Linked DNA regions of Arabidopsis thaliana. The protein of the gene in region 2 interacts with the protein of the main gene of each other region in a pairwise test. Each region holds a gene or a part of one and is shown on either strand. Other genes may lie near its edges. The genes, in order: GF14 PHI, BASS2 and TBL36.

Evidence for each region.
Region 1: the proteins of BASS2 (region 2) and GF14 PHI interact in a protein complementation assay, tested with the Arabidopsis thaliana proteins (one large-scale study listed by BioGRID).
Region 3: the proteins of BASS2 (region 2) and TBL36 interact in a protein complementation assay, tested with the Arabidopsis thaliana proteins (one large-scale study listed by BioGRID).

Annotation. Positions count from the first base shown.
Region 1 is NC_003070.9:12,863,426-12,869,907, forward strand, and holds GF14 PHI (GF14 protein phi chain), read left to right. Parts: upstream 1-3,700; 5' UTR 3,701-3,838; coding exon 3,839-4,333; intron 4,334-4,423; coding exon 4,424-4,546; intron 4,547-4,630; coding exon 4,631-4,747; intron 4,748-4,936; coding exon 4,937-5,089; 3' UTR 5,090-5,465; downstream 5,466-6,482. Other genes in the region: AT1G35150 (General transcription factor 2-related zinc finger protein), read right to left, coding at 733-828, 901-1,062, 1,134-1,282, 1,678-2,384, 2,548-2,813. UniProt on the Arabidopsis thaliana protein: Is associated with a DNA binding complex that binds to the G box, a well-characterized cis-acting DNA regulatory element found in plant genes.
Region 2 is NC_003071.7:11,474,428-11,480,909, reverse strand, and holds BASS2 (Sodium Bile acid symporter family), read left to right. Parts: upstream 1-2,767; 5' UTR 2,768-3,039; coding exon 3,040-3,142; intron 3,143-3,215; coding exon 3,216-3,318; intron 3,319-3,388; coding exon 3,389-3,506; intron 3,507-3,599; coding exon 3,600-3,641; intron 3,642-3,723; coding exon 3,724-3,837; intron 3,838-3,919; coding exon 3,920-3,982; intron 3,983-4,400; coding exon 4,401-4,528; intron 4,529-4,618; coding exon 4,619-4,700; intron 4,701-4,932; coding exon 4,933-4,984; intron 4,985-5,071; coding exon 5,072-5,169; intron 5,170-5,259; coding exon 5,260-5,418; intron 5,419-5,509; coding exon 5,510-5,599; intron 5,600-5,676; coding exon 5,677-5,754; 3' UTR 5,755-6,158; downstream 6,159-6,482.
Region 3 is NC_003074.8:20,082,146-20,088,627, reverse strand, and holds TBL36 (TRICHOME BIREFRINGENCE-LIKE 36), read left to right. Parts: upstream 1-1,660; 5' UTR 1,661-1,882; coding exon 1,883-2,193; intron 2,194-2,379; coding exon 2,380-2,551; intron 2,552-2,636; coding exon 2,637-2,818; intron 2,819-2,975; coding exon 2,976-3,125; intron 3,126-3,206; coding exon 3,207-3,531; 3' UTR 3,532-3,657; downstream 3,658-6,482. Other genes in the region: AT3G54270 (sucrose-6F-phosphate phosphohydrolase family protein), read left to right, coding at 1-100, 183-473, 627-813, 977-1,023, 1,120-1,209; AT3G54250 (GHMP kinase family protein), read left to right, coding at 3,940-4,149, 4,254-4,452, 4,536-4,599, 4,760-4,904, 5,170-5,256, 5,335-5,492, 5,592-5,640, 5,709-5,833 and 1 more. UniProt on the Arabidopsis thaliana protein: May act as a bridging protein that binds pectin and other cell wall polysaccharides. Probably involved in maintaining esterification of pectins. May be involved in the specific O-acetylation of cell wall polymers.

The DNA.
Region 1 (6,482 bases), on a different chromosome or scaffold from region 2:
AAGAACTAAATCACAAGGCTTTTAGTAAGTATATATCCTCTTCTTTGAACTAGTCTATGCTGGATCTTTGTTTTGTTAATATCATCTTTTGCACTGTAACTTATTAAACTTTCAGACTTCTCAATCCACGAAATTTTTGATGCGGAGGAGCCAATGCCGGTTCAATGTTTTGCGAGACCGTAAGCAAGATTAAATTTTTTTCCCCCTTTTAAATGCTACTTAAATCCATACTGAAAACAATTTTTTTTTGAACTTCAAAAGAACAATCAGAAGTTTAGACATATAAAAAAACATAAAGAATCAAAACTAAACCAAAACATAAACCAAGAGATAGAAGAGAGAATACATAAGTGTCGACCACAAGCTAATCAACACTTGAATAAATTTCTACTTAGTAAATATGATCCTTCTTGAATTTTTGTCCTGCAAAATCATCCATCACAGTCGCATAGTTGATATTTTCAAGCATTGCTCTCTCAATTGATAATATAGCTAACCCATTCAATCTATCTTATGACATTTTAGACCGCAAATAATTCTTGATCAACTTCAGCTTAGAAAAACTTCTTTCGACGGAAACAACTGACACTGGAATGGTCAATAATATCCCATAAGAAATCCATGTGTTTGGATAACAACCCCCCATTCTTTTCAAAAAATCAAGCACTTCAATAGGTTTCTTAACTTCATTTGGTAATACTTCTCGTAGAACTTTTATTTCCATAAACAAATCTAGCCATCTATATCAGAATGCTCACCATGCTTGAGGGATGATTCAAGGTGCACACAAGATGCCATTAAACTTTCATCACTTGCAGATGTCAATTTCTTTAAATCAAACAGAAATCCAAAAGTTTGTTCGTACCTTTGGAATTGCTCAAATCTTGACTAAAGAGAAACTAGAGCTTGATCTATGAGTGTGAAGAAGTAATTAATTCTGAAATCCTCCTCTGGTGACAAGTCCATATTCTCATCTCCTTTTTCTGAAACTTCATCAAAATGCTTCTTTCTTCGAATGGTCCTCTTCTTCTTTACAAGAAATTCAGCTTCTATATCCATATCCTCTGCAAGTCATACAACCTCAAACTTTCAATCTCAAATCTTGTCTCTCTATATTTTTGAAGATATGAAACGAGTCCTTTTAGTTCGATAATAGCAACATCAATATCAATGTCAGCCGATTGTAAAGTCTTGCTCACTCGGTTGACAACAGCTAGAAGATCATACCAAAGAATCATACCAAAAAGAATCTCAAACACTCCAATACCATGTGTTTCACTCTCTGCAAGGCATTCACATCACTTCGTGTTTTTGGATCGTCGGTCTTTTCTGCCAAATAAAGTAAAGCATCTCTGATTTCAAGAGTTTGAAAACGTATGGCTTTGACACCTTCGAGATGACTCTCTCAACAAATTTGAGATGAAGATTTAAGTGTTGGACCTTTTACCATCTCTTTAAATATATCCCACCTGTTTGTTGAAGATACAAACAAACAGTATACTCGCTGTAAACTCCCAAAAAAAGACATTGCCTTTGTCGAAGAAGATGTTATATCGCAAAGCACAAGGTTGAGGCTATGAAAACCACATGGTGTGTAGAATGCTCTTGGATTAATTTCCAACAATCTTCTTTGTACTCCTTTGTTTTTTCCTTTCATATTAGATTCGTTGTCATAACCTTGTCCTCTCACATCATCAATCTCTAACTCCATATCAACTAATGCTTCTTTAATCTTAGAGAATAACCCTTCACTTGATTTATCTTTCACTTCCAAAAATGTCAAATAAAACTCTTCAACCTTCGTTAACGTTGAAGAAATATTCACACATCGAATGATCATAGTCATCTGTTCTTTATGACTAATATCCGGAGTACAATCAAGAATTATGGAACAGTACTTTGAAGCATGTATTGTCTTCATGATCATAAGTCTAATCTCACCGGTCAAGATACCTATTAGCTCATTTTGAATCTTGTGACTTAAATAATGAGAATATATCTCAGCTGCACCAATTCTTCTGATATGCTCTCTCATTACGACATCAAATTCTGCAATCATTTCAATAAAACTCAAAAAATTCCCATTTCTGTCTTGGCCAACCTTTTCATTTTTTCCACGAAATGCTAAATTATTTTTAGCGTGAGTTTTCACCAATGCAATGATCCTTAGGAGTACTTCCCTCCAATGAATATTATCTTTGTTTATTGCTTCTTGGGCATGCTTATCAATCGTTTTATTTTTCTGTAGTCTAGACTCTAACTCAGCTCGACGAGTCATACAAGTAATGTGATCATGGCTGCCTTTGTGTTCTTTGAGTCGCTTTGAAAGATTTCTCCAATCATTGTACCCGCTAGTTGCCAAGTAACCACCTTTTTTGTCATGTCTCAACAACTTACAACAAAAACAAAAGACTTTAATCTAATGCTTTTGAGTAAATCAACCATCTTCTATCTTGTTTCTCCCCATTCCTCATTTCTCTTATGTAAAATGTTTGAGAAAAATGCCTACCAATACTATCTTTACGAAACCGGTAATTAGTTGATAACCTTGTCGCTAGACCCTTTTCAACTAATAAATCTCTGAATCTCATATTCATGTCATCCCAATTTACTGGATCGGAAATATTGGAAGGAAGTTCTTCTTTCTGCCCACTTTTCTTCTCTTCATGAACAACTTCATCTTGATCTTTGTTATCAAACTCATTCTCATCCACTTCATTCGTCATCCAAACTGTCCACATTATTGTTGTTATCAAGCATCTGCTTGGAGGAGCCAATGTAGGCATGTGCTCTCTCTTCTTGTTATCAAGCATCTGCTTGTGATATTTTTGTACAATTAAGCTAACATAACTTTAACAAAAAAAATCTGTAATAATAAGTTTATATGTACAATCTAATTCCAACAAATCAAATACTAAACTAAATATCATTGATCAACTAATTTTTTTATTTCCTAAGAACATATCTCTTTAAAAGAATTGTTTGAAGTTTCTTCCATTAGAATAAGTCTTGTGAAAATTTTATTTATTACATCATTAAGTAAAACTTCTTTTAAATTAATAGGTTAAACAGTCTATATATATTTAGTTTTTTTTTTTGAAAAATAAAATAAATTGCATAAAATAAATTGGCACTAATTTTAAAATAAAACGTTCTAAAGATATTTTTTATACAATATATAATAATTAATAACCTAACAATTTCTTTCTTTTTTAACAAAACAATTTCAAAATTCAACTTAAAAAAAAAATTGCTCAATCAACAGAAATTACAAAATGCCAATATGGACGTAAAAGGTCCATTAAGGAATCAAAATACAACAAAGTAACTTTTTCCACATAAAAATAAACTAAGGGCATCTCCAACGCACAGATACAGTATGAGTTTCTCAATTCTATTTTTTTAATCAGTTAATAATAAATATATTATTTATTTAAATTTTATATTATAAAGACAAAATCTGACCAATCATAAATAACAAGGGGTTGAGTTGGGTTTCTCATAGTTTCTCATATGAGAAACGTTTCTCTTTCTTTCTCCACCTTTTTCATTACTTTTTATTTTTTTAATCTCCAGATACTCATTAAAAAACTGCTGTTGGAGATGACCTAAAAACCGACCCAAAAAGTATCAGAAAATTCCCGTGTACAAAATTTAATCCAACGGTCCTCCTTCCATCTCCTTTCGCAATCGTCGCTCCCCACTCAAACAAAAACCAAAAAAAACAAAACTATCTTTTAAACCCCAACAAAAAAAAAATTGAAATTCGAAAACAGAACAAAAAAAAAAATCTCTCTCAATCTCTCTCAGATCTGAATCCATCCATCACCGATCTCTAATGGCGGCACCACCAGCATCATCCTCGGCGAGGGAAGAGTTCGTGTACCTCGCAAAGCTCGCAGAGCAAGCGGAACGTTACGAAGAAATGGTTGAATTCATGGAAAAAGTCGCTGAAGCCGTTGACAAAGACGAACTCACCGTCGAAGAACGTAATCTCCTCTCCGTCGCTTACAAAAACGTAATCGGCGCTCGTCGTGCTTCCTGGAGAATCATCTCTTCCATTGAACAAAAAGAAGAGAGTCGTGGTAACGATGACCATGTGACCACGATCCGTGATTACAGAAGCAAGATCGAATCTGAGTTATCGAAAATCTGTGACGGTATTCTTAAGCTTCTTGATACTAGACTTGTTCCTGCTTCTGCTAATGGAGATTCTAAGGTTTTTTACCTTAAGATGAAGGGAGATTATCATAGGTATTTGGCTGAGTTTAAGACTGGTCAAGAGAGGAAAGATGCTGCTGAACATACTCTCACCGCTTACAAAGCTGCTCAGGTTTATTCTCCGATCTGGAATTTTGTTGGATCTCATTTCTAGGTTAAATCATGATTTGTGTGAATCTGTGTTTCTTTTGTTTGTTTGTAGGATATTGCTAATGCTGAATTGGCTCCAACGCATCCGATTCGTCTTGGTTTGGCTTTGAATTTCTCTGTGTTTTACTATGAGATTCTTAATTCTCCAGATCGTGCTTGTAATCTCGCTAAGCAGGTGATGAGAAAGTTTCTGATCTATTTGGGATTTGAGTCATTGTGTTGGTACTACTCTATGTGTATTGATATTGAGATATAACAGGCGTTTGATGAAGCCATTGCTGAGTTAGATACTCTTGGAGAGGAGTCATACAAGGATAGTACCTTGATCATGCAGCTTCTTCGTGACAATCTTACTCTCTGGACTTCTGACATGCAGGTAAACGATCGAAACGAAACCGTTCTTTGCTTCATCGAAACTGCTGATAATGGTTATGATAGAATAGTTTTGGAATTGTCCACCAACATAGTTCATTGCTGATAATGGATATGATAGATAGGCTTAGTGGCTCATGATGCTGGAATTGTGCACACACATTGTTCATAAGCTTTGAATCAGATGGTTTAGTTTTGCATTATGTATGATAATACTCTCATGAGCTTCTTGGTCTTGATCTCTGATTCTGTTGTGTTAATTTCGACGATTAATCAGGACGAAAGTCCGGAGGAGATTAAAGAAGCAGCAGCACCAAAGCCTGCTGAAGAACAGAAGGAGATCTAAGTTTGTGGTTTCTTTTTTCAGTATTCTTAAGTTATGCAATTATAATTATGTTTCTGCTTGGTGTTTATTTTCTAATCTTTCCTTTGCTATCCCCGAAGCTTCTAAGGCCGTCTAATTCTTGTCCTTTGTTTGCTTTTCTCAATCGTGGATGCTACTGGATTTCTGTTTTGTTTTACTTCTTCTCTTGATTGATTGCATTTCCCGGCTTATGCCTTGTACTTGAAACTCAGTTTTCTCTCTTATTAATGATTTGCCATTCACCTGGTTATGCGTTTTTGTATACATGTGACTGCGTTTGCAATTGTGTTTTCTGAGTTTGCTTAGGTTATGCACACACAATTTACGCTGTTTGAGAATGAGCGCTTGCTAATACTGATACAGATTATTACAGGAAACACTGACCTCAAAATTTGCGTGAATTTCGATGAGATTTGCGTAGGAATAACAAGTGTTGGGCATATAGGTTTGAATCAAATGGGACTTACCAAAGTTTGTATCAACCTCGTTCACCAGTTATTGTTTTGCAGACCTCAACCAAAAGTTAACATGAACGAGGTCAATACCTCTCAAAAGCTGATTAATTGATAGCATCACTCATAGTAAGGTAGAGATTAATGTTCAAGAAAACGTTAGGCGTTAATTGGGCGGTAACCCAATGCAACGCTTCATCGGGTCTAAACAGTTTTAGGCGGTTAAAGCGTTTATAGTATAAAATATTATAAATATGTTATTATATGTAAAAGTTATTTAAAACATAAATTAAAAAATAAAAATCTTAAATTTACAAAACAAAAAATAGATAAAACGTACATTAATTCATATCAAACAACATTTGAACATTAAACTATATATATGAAGACAAAATTTAACAAATTTGAATTTGAGTAATTAAAATTTGGAAAAAAATATTAAAACGAAGCATATATAATCTTAGGCGGTCGAAACTGTCGTTTAGGCGTCATGTGAAAACCTAACATTCGATCTCTACGTTTTCACGTCCGCGGGTTACTCTAGAATAATTTGAAATGAGTTTATAGATCCATGTAGAACCCAAATAAGTTTGTGATCTTCCTAAATGAATGGCACATGAAAATATGCCAGACAACAATTTTTTTGACAGAAGATCTTAAGCTCATAAGATGTAAACTTCAACGAGCCATCTCAAGTAACCATAGATAGCTGTCATGGATTGAACATTAATGTAAATTATTTATTTGCAATAACATTTTTAATATCAAATTTTTATGATTGTGTCCCTAATTTGAATACCGTCTAGATCCGCCAATAAGCAAGACTTGGTAAGGTTGACTTGAAGAAATTTTACGAGATTTCTTTCCACTATTATTCTTTACATTCTTGTTATAATGGTTTTTCTACCTTTTTTTAGTTTACT
Region 2 (6,482 bases):
TCAAAACTATATTTATAAACCAGAAAATTTAGTTATGATTAGGCTCAAAATAACTAAAATATATGAATGTACATACTTATATGTGTCTAGAGTAAATATTTTTTGCAAACTAATTCATTAGATTGAACAAATTATTTAGTTCTTTTTTCCACATAGTTTATGTACAAATATTTAATTCAAACCGAACCCAATAAAATTTGGTTATATGTCGGTCCGAACTGAGAGATAACCGAACATAGTCAAACCGTAAAATAACTACCGATCCGAACCGCATGTTTTTTGGTTCTATATGAATTCTAAACCCCTTAAAACAATTTACTCAAAATCGATCTGAGCCAAGTCGATTATCGGATGTCCACGTTAGATTTTTCCAAAAGAAAAAGAGTAGAATAAAATAGTCATTCTCACAACTAATAAATACCTACAATTTACATACTTGTTTTGTATTATTATCTTTGACATGTGTAATGGGGACAGGTATAAATGGACCGTTAGATTAGAGGGATACTAGTCTATTATATACTGTACCTATTTTGATTAATTTATTGATTCTAGCAACATTCTACTTTCTTCTCACCGAATTTTTCCTTCTACTGTTTTTTAATTAATTATAGCAATGTTTTTTTTCGAACATTTCAAACATGTATTTAGAGTGACTTGTAATCTAGAAATATCAAGATGAGCTGGAATCTTTTGAGTCAATTTGGTCTGGTCTGGTTCTATCATTTTCATTTTAGGATTAGAATTTTCAACTCATGTATTAATGGAAGTATGAAGTCAATTCTAACATGTTTAGTGGTTATTGGTTAGAATAAATTATGCATCATTATTGGTCATAAAAGATAGATAAAGTTTTTAACGAATAATAACAAAATAATTAATAGAAATGGTAAAAAAAAATAACAGTATACAAGTAGATATTAGTCTCTCTCTCTCTTTTTTTTTGTCTTTCAACAAATTGTTATGTGATTACAAATAGTTTTTTCTTTTTGTTTTCAAGAAACAGAAAATAAAAAATAATGATATACGATGACGAAGTACGGGTCTGGCCTGTTTTGATCAAAATCAGATCTACTCTTTGTTAACATTAAGAGATTGATGACTAGCCATCGGATCCATTCTCTTTGGTTTCATGGCCGATCATAGCTGATCTATTTCTTTGAATTTTAAGCTAGCATTCTATTAATGCTTTTATTTCATTGGTCCTCTCTTGTTGTAATCTCCTTTCAAACTATGTAGATAATTTTTTGTTGAATAAAATTTAACATTCCAAATTTCCAACCAAAAATCTAATATCTTAAGGTCATTTTGTTTCCTCCCGAGACCTTTCTTCACTTTAGGAGGTATTGAGACTCAATTCATCAAGCATCTAATCTAACGAGACAAATGAAATAAAAGTTTGGTTGCGGGTTGATGACTTTTGAAAGATGTGACAGTCTTGTTCTTTTCCTAAAAACTAGGAGTGGATATATCGTAAAAGTGTCTTAAGATGCCAAAGCTGAGAGAGTGAGTGTTGAACAACCTGCGTTGAATCATTGTAGTTCAACTTGTTTATATCCAACAATATTCATAGAGAGACATAACCTTATGTCATTCCATTTAGTTTGTAGAAGTAGAGAAGATTCGAACATGCATCTTTAAATAAACGAAGAATGGGAATTTAAAGAGAATGCAAAGAAAGAAAAGTAGAGTAGAGGCCAAGAAACATAAACTAGATTATACATCTCTCGACGATTCTACTTATTATTTATCTCTTAAGAAATTTATGCATATCCCCCAACAAAACCAAAAACATAAGATTTTCAAATGTAAAAATGTCGATGAAACATACAAAATTTGGCAGTGAAAGAGTGAAAATCAGCTTCGTCGGCCAAAGATTTGTCTGTCGCCAACCAAAATATTAATATTAATGGTTACAAACAAAGTATGGGGGTTTCTTGGCTGGGGCATGGTGCTAATCATTATCCAGAAAATTCAAACAAACTGTCACAGAACTCAGCACTCACATTTAATGAAAACTTTGTATTTGTTCAGTCGAATAAATTAACGTGTAGTGTTTCAAAATGTGTTAAATCAATACTTCATCATGTGATTGTCTTGATTTTATGAGTTTATCTAACTAATAAAGCTATTTTCACAGTAAAAATAGAGGCAAATCATTTGGTGGAAATAGACCATATTTTCAGCATATTTCTACATCTTGATTGACTTTTCCAACATCAATAAATATGTTTTTGCAGCACAGTTTTCAAATATAGAATTTCTGTGGTATGAACCATAGTGAATATGTGCATCTTATCCATATATAAACTAAAATGTATAAAAATATACAATCTTGTTTAACAATACAATCAGACTGTAAACAAAAAAAATTCAATAGATATGATTGATTAATACATGTGAAACTTAGGCATACGACTTTTGAGCGAACCGAACCGTTCGGTTTGGATAATTGGTTTTTCGAGTATCTAGTTAGGAGATAAGACTGCCAAATTTAACCGAACAAAAATTCGGTTTGGATCGGTTCAGTTATCAGTTAACTCAGTTCGGTAATGTGTCTCAAATCCATACAAAAATTTGGTTTGTATAGCAATTTTAAAGAATTTTGGTATTAGTTTATAAAATTGGATATGATTTGTTTATATTAGTTTAAAAAATTAGAAAAAATGGTTAAAAGATTGTTCGATTAACCGTACCTAACCAATAGGAAAAGTTACCGATCGGACCACTTCTATTAATCGACTGGTTAACCGAACACTCAAATCTCAATTAGGTTCTGTTCGAAAACACATCGGAAATGACGACAGGAAAAAAAAAAAAAAACACACACACATCGACGTAGTTGTAGTAGAATCGATCCAAAAATGTTAAGTAGATATTTTCCAGATAGGATTGTTGATGAAAGGGGCAGATGAAGAATGTGTGGCTCTCCTCTCTTTCACAACACTCCACAAAACCCTTTGTCTCCTCCTCATTTGGAGATGTCACTAACTCATCTTCTCTGATTCACCAACATCCTAAAACCCTTTTGATCAAAACATGGCTTCCATTTCCAGAATCTTACCAACAGATGGCAGATTAAGTCAATGCAGAATCAACACCTCGTGGGTTCCTTCTACAACCAGAACTCAAACTCACTTAGGTATCTATCCTTTATACTTCTCTGGTTTCAGATTTCTAAGAGTCAATTTGCTGAATCATATATTTTTCTTCAGATTTTCCCAAGTTAGTTTCTGTTAGTAACTCTGGGATAAGTTTGAGGATTCAGAATAGTAAACCTATTAGCCCTGTCTTTGCTCTTGAAGCAACTTCCTCCAGGTATTGTAATTTGGTGAATGTGTAAACAAGTTTAAGGATTTGGGTTTATTAAAAATTGTAATTTTTACAGGAGGGTTGTTTGCAAAGCTGCTGCTGGTGTGTCAGGTGACTTACCTGAGAGTACTCCTAAGGAACTTAGTCAGTATGAGAAGATTATTGAGCTTTTGACAACCCTTTTTCCACTTTGGGTACTTATGCTATACCTTTCTTTGATGAAGTTTGAAACTTTTTGTGAGTTTGATAACTGATATGGAGCAATGTGGTTTTTGTTTGTTGTGCAGGTTATTTTGGGAACACTTGTTGGCATCTTCAAGCCATCCTTGGTATGCTTTTTATGCTTCTTTGTTATTGTTTATTTACTGTAGCAATCTATGTTTTTGGGGCTTATAGATTTAAGTTTTGTAGGTTACATGGTTGGAAACAGATCTCTTTACTCTAGGTCTTGGATTTCTTATGCTTTCCATGGGTTTGACTCTTACGTTTGAAGATTTCAGAAGATGTTTACGTAATCCATGGACGGTGAGAGCCAATGAACACTGGTGTGTTTTTTCTATCTGTTAGATACAGTACCTGTTTAACGTTTAGAGTCTTTCTCCTGCAGGTGGGTGTTGGTTTTCTTGCTCAATATATGATCAAGCCAATTCTAGGTTTTCTCATTGCAATGGTATGTTTCCACTAATGTCTATCACATTTACTTCTATTTGCTTCTCTGAAATGGATGCTTATGCAATATTCTATTTTGTTTAAGATATTGGTTCTCTTCGTCCGTTTTTACTTCTATGGGCTGTATACGCTTTAGCCAAATCAAATGTTGATTGGAATATTCTTTCTTTGATTAACTTAGATCCAAGAGTCGTTGCATGTCCAAACATCACTTTTTCTTGAAACGTTTGAATCAAATATTTGCTTTCTAGTTACTGTAGAAACAATTCCTGGCATACTCACTTACTCCTTGAGGGATTTCTCTTGTAGAGAGGATTGATATGGACATATGCTATGTGCATTTGGAAACACTACATTTGGTTAACATTAATTGTTGAGCAGCCAACTAATACAAACTTTTTCTGTGTGTTTTATTTTAGACTCTTAAGCTTTCGGCACCTCTTGCGACTGGCCTTATCCTAGTCTCATGCTGCCCTGGAGGACAGGCGTCAAACGTTGCTACTTACATTTCCAAGGGGAATGTAGCGCTCTCTGTACTCATGACAACGTAATCCTTCTATTTTCACTTCTTTCTCTTTTCGTTCTTTAATTTTATTGGTCAGATTTCATATACATTATCTGTTCTTTAATTTATTAGGTGTTCAACCATTGGGGCTATTATAATGACTCCTCTTCTTACTAAGCTTCTTGCTGGTCAGCTTGTTCCCGTTGACGCTGCTGTGAGTTTTCTCTATAACTATTTTGAATCGTTTCATTCAAAATTGCATTGATAAGATACATTTCTTTTTATGTATGAAATATAAGATACATTTCACTTAGCTAAAATATGAATAATCATGGTTCAGTAAAAGTTATTGAATGATTTAAAGTAGAATGAAGCGCAAGAACTCTATTAGAATATAGTTGCAGCCCTCCACAACGAAAGCTTATGGATCCATTTTTTTACGTCAGGGACTTGCTCTTAGTACGTTCCAAGTAGTGTTGGTTCCTACCATAATTGGAGGTAAGTATGGTGCTACGTGTTTCCGGAAAAATGAATTTGTGCTTATATATCCTTAGGGACTAATGTCTTTTTCTGCATTGTGTGCAGTTCTGGCAAATGAGTTCTTTCCTAAATTTACGTCTAAGATCATAACAGTGACGCCTCTAATCGGAGTCATTCTGACTACTCTGCTCTGTGCCAGCCCTGTAAGTTCATATATCCAGATATATATATTTTTTTTATTGAATTTTGAGACTGGAATTGGTATTGATTACTACCTTATCTCTTCTGAAAAGATTGGACAAGTTGCAGATGTTTTGAAAACCCAAGGAGCTCAACTTATACTCCCGGTGGCACTCCTTCATGCTGCAGCCTTTGCTATTGGCTATTGGATTTCAAAGTTTTCTTTCGGCGAGTCCACTTCGCGTACCATTTCTATAGAATGTGGAATGCAAGTAAGTTACTTTCTCCTATACCGTAGATATACATTGCCGTTTGCTTTACTAAGGCTTCTTTTTGAAAATCTGTGTACTTTGCAAACCGCAGAGTTCAGCGCTCGGGTTCTTGCTTGCACAAAAGCATTTCACAAACCCTCTAGTTGCTGTTCCTTCTGCAGTCAGTGTTGTCTGTATGGCGGTAAGTTTTCATAGCCATTTCACTAAAGTTCACATGCAAATTCCTTAAGTTTAATTATGTTCAATGGCATTCTGCAGCTTGGCGGGAGCGGCCTGGCCGTGTTCTGGAGAAACCTACCGATTCCGGCAGATGACAAGGATGACTTCAAAGAGTAAATGAAGTAGGAAAGGCGGTTTGCATCTTCTCCAAACGATGTGATTGTTTTGTTGTAATGTTAGTAAACATTACAAAATTTGTGTTGAAAAACATGAAACAAAATGTGTTTAAGAGACATAGAAACAAGGGCGTGCATGATGACAACTTTGTGGTCAACCTTTTTTTTATTTCTCAATTAATGGACAAATCTTTTTTGGCACACCTTCTCCAAATTTTGAATCTAAGTTTCAGATTGGGATTAGCGTTGTTCCCGGAATCCTGTCTACTCTCACAATGCACTCCCTCATTTCCAGCCATGACTTCTCTTAGCTCATATACGTCTTTTGTCAGCAATGATAAGTTTTGATGTTTTTAGCATTAGGTGGTTTTGGTGAATTTTCATTTTAAATTAGATTTGAGTGTTTCCTTTTCTGATGAAAACACAACTTCCAACAATTAACATAAGTAAACATGTAAAGTTGATTGGAATGTGGCCAGTTGATCTCGGTTTCAATAAGGTGAAGAGTCTCATTGTATTTTGGTCTTTACATGATTGGAATAGTACTATGCTTCTGGAGTTCTGGTCTCAGTGTATAAATGGTGGTAAAAAATGTTTTCAGTTTACAGTAAAAAATGTTTAGCTATATTTTAACATTTCTTTTACTGTAGAATGTTTCCCATATAGATTTTCTGTTTTTTTTTTAATTAGTAATATTTTTAGTTTTCATATTTTTTTAATATACGTGCT
Region 3 (6,482 bases), on a different chromosome or scaffold from region 2:
GTTGGATATTGAAGGCAAGCAGCCTTCTAACACACTTGTTTGTGGTGACTCTGGAAATGATGCTGAGCTTTTCAACATTTCTGACGTATATGGCGTAATGGTTAGTTCCCAACTACTTTTTTTTAGGTTCGATCATACTTGACTACGCGTGAGTGATTGTGCTTATATTTTTACTGTTTAAGGTTAGCAATTCGCATGAAGAATTATTGCAATGGTATGAAGAAAATGCAAAGGACAACCCAAAAATATTTCATGCGTCTGAGAGGTGTGGAGCTGGTATGATAGAAGCTATTCAGAGGTTTAATTTGGGACCAAATGTCTCTCCTAGAGATGTTATGGACACTGAAAATTTCCATGGGGAAAGTTTGAATCCTGCTCATGAGGTTGTTCAGTTTTATTTGTTTTATGAGAGATGGCGTTGTGGAGAGGTGGAAAAGTCTGACAAGTACTTGCAGAATTTGAAATCGCTCTCTGTAAGTGTGTTTATTTGACAAAAAAAAGCTCTCTAGCATCTAACGTAATGGAAATTCAAGTGCTCAAATTGATAATTTTGAAGATGTTCTTGATTGCTTGTGTTGTGTAGACTTATTAGTTGACGTAATTGTTATGCTTTTGCAATGTTTCAGAGTCCACTTGGTATTTTTGTTCATCCGTCTGGAGTGGAGAAACCGATACATGAATGGATAGATGAGATGGAAAATTTATACGGTGATGGGAAGGAAAAGAAGTTTCGCATTTGGTTGGATAATGTTACGTCTTCTCATATCAGTTCAGATACATGGCTTGCAAAATTTGTAAAGCATGAGTTATCTGGTAAGAAATCTTGTTCTTCAATTACATGGCTTATACTTGTGACTTATCGAGCTAGGAAATGATTTAGCAGAAAATACGATCAACTGATTTGTTTGATTTCTCATCATAAGGGTATACTGTAGAAGTTTGCTTCCATGTTCTAATGTCTAGCTCGTGTTTACAGAGGGAAAAGTACGGTCTTGTTCAACAAAAGTCTTACTGAGTTATAAGGTAAACCTTGATTTATGATCCTTTTAAGATTTCAAACGATTAGATTGGTTAAATAATATTGGAAAAAAATAACTGAAAATGGGTTAAAATTGAAAGGAGGAAAAGCAAAGGCTGACGTGGATGCACATCCACCAATCATGGTTAGATGAATCTTCTTCAGATGATCAAGAAAAATGGATTTTCTAAAGGATTATCTTAATCTCGACTGACATACTAAAGATGACATCTGTTTGGGACAGAAGCTAACCAAAGAGCATAGTGTTTGTTTTGTGTTATGTTTGTTTGGGGATGGTGTGAGTTTGATAAAGCATGAAGGATACTAAAAGCTGAAGAAGGTGTTGCCATGTCTTGGTTTCGTTTCATTAATACTTTTTTACATATTTGGGTTAACTTAAAACTATTAATAAGGAAGGTTGGGTCCTGAATTTGGTCTGTTCATGACCTTTTGAGGGCAGGGAGAGTTTTGGGTCTCTACAACAAAACCTACATTTCTTTAGTCTTACAAAACCTACCATTGTGTTTGATTTGCAATTCTTTTTTCTGGTTTATATGGATTGTTTTCTACTATTTCTGTTTGTTTTTGTTGAGAAACTATTTCGATTTTTTAAACCATATACAAAACGCTCCACCAAACTCACAAATCCCGCCTTGGATACTGTAATCTGTTTTTATAAAAAAATGATATGATGGAGAGAAGAGGAGACGCAAGTCACGGGACATGATTTCAAGCATAAGTCTAATTACTAATTACCACCACTTTCCGTAATTAACGCCCTTTTTCACTTTATCCACTTTTTGTTGCCCATCTTCTTTATATTATTTCTTTCTCCAAGCCCACACTGCTCAGTTTCCTGGTCAAATGGCTACCTCAGAGACTCGAGTCTTGTTCTTATCTTTGTGTCTCATCCTTGGCAAAGTAGTTTTGTCTCAGTTTGATGAGTTATGGCTAGTAGGGGACGATGATCCACTCAACGCCTTGCAGACGAGGCGTGAAAGAAGAGAGGAGAGGTGTGATTACTCGGTGGGGAAATGGACGTTCGATGAAACGTATCCGCTCTATGATTCAAGCTGTCCATATCTGAGTTCTGCACTAAGTTGCCAAAGAAATGGAAGACCCGACTCTTATTACCAGAAATGGAGATGGATCCCTAAGGCTTGTTCACTACCAAGGCACACTCCACACTCCTCTTACTTCTTACATTACTTCTTTTTAAAATTTCTGTCTCATCAAGTAAAAAAGTTGGTTTATATTGGCTTTGCATGGTTAATTGCAAGATGAATAAATTGACTAATGAAAAATGGGAAAGAGACATTAATATTAACCAAAATAGTGGCTCTTTCCATGATGGTGTTTAGGTTTGACGCATTGAAATTTCTTGGGAAAATGAGAGGAAAAAGAATAATGCTGGTTGGAGATTCAATGATGAGAAACCAGTGGGAATCTCTTGTCTGCTTAGTACAGTCTGTTCTTCCCACTCATCGTAAGAAGCTCACTTACAATGGTCCTACGATGTCTTTCCATTCTCTGGTAATTAATAATCACAAATCTCCTTTTGAATCACATATACATCATTGGTTAGTAGATGCAACTATTAAATTTGGTTACTATACAGGATTTTGAGACATCAATTGAGTTTTGTTGGGCTCCTCTGCTTGTGGAACTCAAGAGAGGAGTTGACCGTAAAAGGGTGTTACATTTGGACTCAATCGAAGACAATGCTAGATATTGGCGTGGTGTAGATGTTCTTGTATTCGATTCCGCTCACTGGTGGACTCACTCTCAGAGATGGAGTTCGTAAGTCATCTGAATAAACACTTACATCTTTCCTTCAAAAGCAAATGATTAGTGTATAACGGTTCATAGACGTCTATGTTCATTGTATTTGTTATTGTGTCTCATTTTACATCAGATTTGGGATTTGTGACAGTAACGCAAGCTATTGATGTTTTAGGTGGGATTATTACATGGATGGGAATAAGATCTTCAAAGCTATGGACCCAATGGTTGCTTATGAGAGAGGACTAACCACATGGGCTAAATGGGTTGAGATAAATCTTGATCCATCCAAAACAAAAGTCATTTTCCGCACTGTCTCACCGAGGTTTTTTCTTATATTCTCCTCTTAATCTCAACATATATACAAAATGGACACCATTAATTCATGTACATAAATTCTTGGCAGAGAGAGTGGTCAGATGTGCTACAACCAGAAACATCCCTTGCCTTCTTTATCTTCTTCCACCAAACCCCACGTGCCTCAACAGTCAAGAGTGTTGAACAAAGTGCTAAGGACAATGAAATACCGAGTGTATTTATACGATATCACAACAATGTCTGCGTATAGAAGAGACGGTCATCCTTCGGTGTTCAAGAGAGCAATGCACGAGGAAGAGAAGCACCATCGTATCGCTGGACCTTCATCAGATTGCAGTCATTGGTGCTTGCCCGGTGTCCCGGATATTTGGAATGAGATGCTTTCTTCAATTATCTTAACCAATGCTGTATGAGCTATAATAAGAGTCTGTTTTTACTCATGAACAATGGTGTTACTTATATGAATCAGTGGTTTATATATTACATATCCTTTCCCAGCTAACAAATATCCCAATATCAAAGACAAGACAACTCAAAGGCCTTTAAGCATAAAGTTCATGCATCACAATGATTTTCGTGTTTTGGTTATTTCTTACCTAACTCAATTTTTTTCCTAAAACGTTTTAGGTTAAGTTTTGGTGTTTTCATCAAAATGGCAATAACCATTTGATTAGAGTTTTACAGTTAGTGAAGTTCTCAATTTTTGAATAAAATAATATTTTTAAAATTGTAAAGGCAATGAGTCATCATTATTCTGTCGTATTCTCCGTCGCTTTCATTTTCAACTACTTTGAAGCTGCAGATCTCTTTTGGAGATTCACATGGCGACGGAGAAATGGGTGTTCATGGTGACGGCGCAAACTCCGACGAACATTGCGGTGATTAAGTATTGGGGAAAGAGAGATGAGGTTCGGATTCTCCCCGTTAACGATAGCATTAGCGTAACTCTTGATCCTGATCATCTCTGCACAGTCACCACTGTTGCCGTTAGTCCTGCTTTTGATCGGGATCGAATGTGGCTCAATGGCAAGGTACACTCGCTTCATTTCCCATCACGATCTCTCTCCTTTTGCTGAGATTCCAATTATCGAATTACAAAGATTTTTGTTGTTGTTGTTGTTTCATGTTAGTGTAGGAAATATCTCTTTCTGGAAGTAGGTACCAAAATTGTTTGAGGGAAATACGAGGTCGTGCTGGTGATGTTGAAGACATGGAAAAGGGGATCAAGATAAGGAAGAAAGATTGGGAGAAATTGAATCTACATATTGCTTCTCATAATAACTTCCCTACTGCTGCTGGCTTAGCATCTTCAGCTGCTGGATTTGCTTGTCTAGGTATTCTGCTTTTTCTCTCTGTTGATGATTATGAGCTTGAGAATGGCTTGTAGTTTATGTCAAACTGTTTTTTTTGCCTACAGTTTTTTCTCTTGCAAAGTTGATGAATGTAGATGAAGATCCAAGCCATCTTTCTGCAATAGCCAGGTACCTATGTAGTGGACTTCCTTGCACTATATATCAATGCTTTGATTTATGTATAGTCATCTACTAATGCATGAGTTGTGATAGTGAAGTGAAATCTGACACTCCTCTAGGAATTAAATGGTACTGATATTCATGGTTTGATTTCTGTTTGCTCATGTAGGCAAGGTTCAGGAAGTGCTTGCCGGAGTTTATTTGGTGGATTTGTCAAGTGGACAATGGGAAGCAAAGAAGATGGAAGTGACAGCGTTGCAGTTCAACTGGCAGATGAGAAGCATTGGGATGATCTTGTTATCATCATTGCTGTGGTATGGCTCTTTTAAAAAATATTGTGACTTTTTGGCAGGATTACTCCGACTCTCCCATCTTCCAGATCATGCTGTTTTTCAAATTAACCATATGTTACTTTTACTGTCGTCATACTATTTGATTGAACGAGATATATAAATAAGTATTTCCACGACAAGATTTTGAGTTGCTCTATTTCAACGTGTGAATATAGCATTATGGACAAGTTCGAATGGTCAGAAATCTGTTAAAATTTAGTGCCTTCATTCAAACTTTTTATAACAGGTGAGTTCACGGCAGAAGGAAACGAGCAGTACCTCCGGAATGCGTGAAAGTGTTGAGACAAGTTTGCTTTTACAGCATAGAGCAAAAGTACGTTCTGTTCTTGATGTTTAATGAACTTCTGTATTACCTATTAAACTTCATCCTTTGTTTTTTCTCTATCTATAGGAAGTTGTGCCAAAACGGATTTTGCAAATGGAGGAAGCTATAAAAAATCGAGACTTTGCATCGTTTACACAATTGACATGTACAGATAGTAATCAGTTTCATGCTGTTTGTCTGGATACATCTCCACCCATATTCTACATGAATGACACTTCACACAGGTATTCTCTATTTTGACATATTTCTATATGCTGCTTCAGTTTATTTGTTATCAAACCCTTATTTATTCTAATATATCAAACTGTTATCTGCTTTTCCAGAATAATTAGCTTAGTTGAAAAGTGGAACCGTTCTGAAGGGACACCACAGGTAAAGTTCTAGTGTCTTGACTCAACCTTTTGAAAACAACTAATAACTCAAAATGTAAATCTGTACAGGTTGCTTACACATTTGATGCTGGTCCAAATGCTGTACTGATTGCACGCAACAGAAAGGTCGCAGTCCAATTGCTCCAGGGGCTTCTGTACTATTTTCCCCCTAAGTCAGACACTGATATGAAGAGGTGAGACACAGAACAATGTGTGATCCGTTTAACTGCGGTTTTCTATGAGTTTTAAAATTGACTAAAAAGCTGTTTGTAATGATTTTGGTTTCTTTATTTACCAGTTACGTAGTGGGCGATAATTCAATTCTAAAAGAAGCAGGATTAGATGGAGCAAGTGGTGTAGAGAATCTGCAACCTCCACCTGAAATTAAAGACAACATTGGATCTCAGGATCAAAAAGGAGAAGTCAGTTATTTTATCTGCACTAGACCTGGAAAAGGTCCCATCGTGCTTCACGACCAAACTCAAGCCCTTCTCGATCCTGAAACAGGCCTTCCTAAGTGAGCATTCTCTCTGCTTCAAACTAATTATTATGATTAGCATCTCCTTTAACTGCAAGTTTAAGATACGATATATGTGGCAGAATAGGTGCAGGTACGTTGTCATCTAACTATTAGCTTTCCTATTTCCAAATAAAAGAAATTCATTGGTTTTGTTTTACCAGAGAAAAATCTTTTTACTGCGCTGCAGTAAATACTTTAAAAGACGCAAAAAAATAAAATGAAATGAAATTTATTCATGAGGAACAGAGCAATACTATTTTTTTGGGGTGGAGACAAACTGTACAACTTTTTTTTTGATTATCTAAACATATGTAAAATTGAAT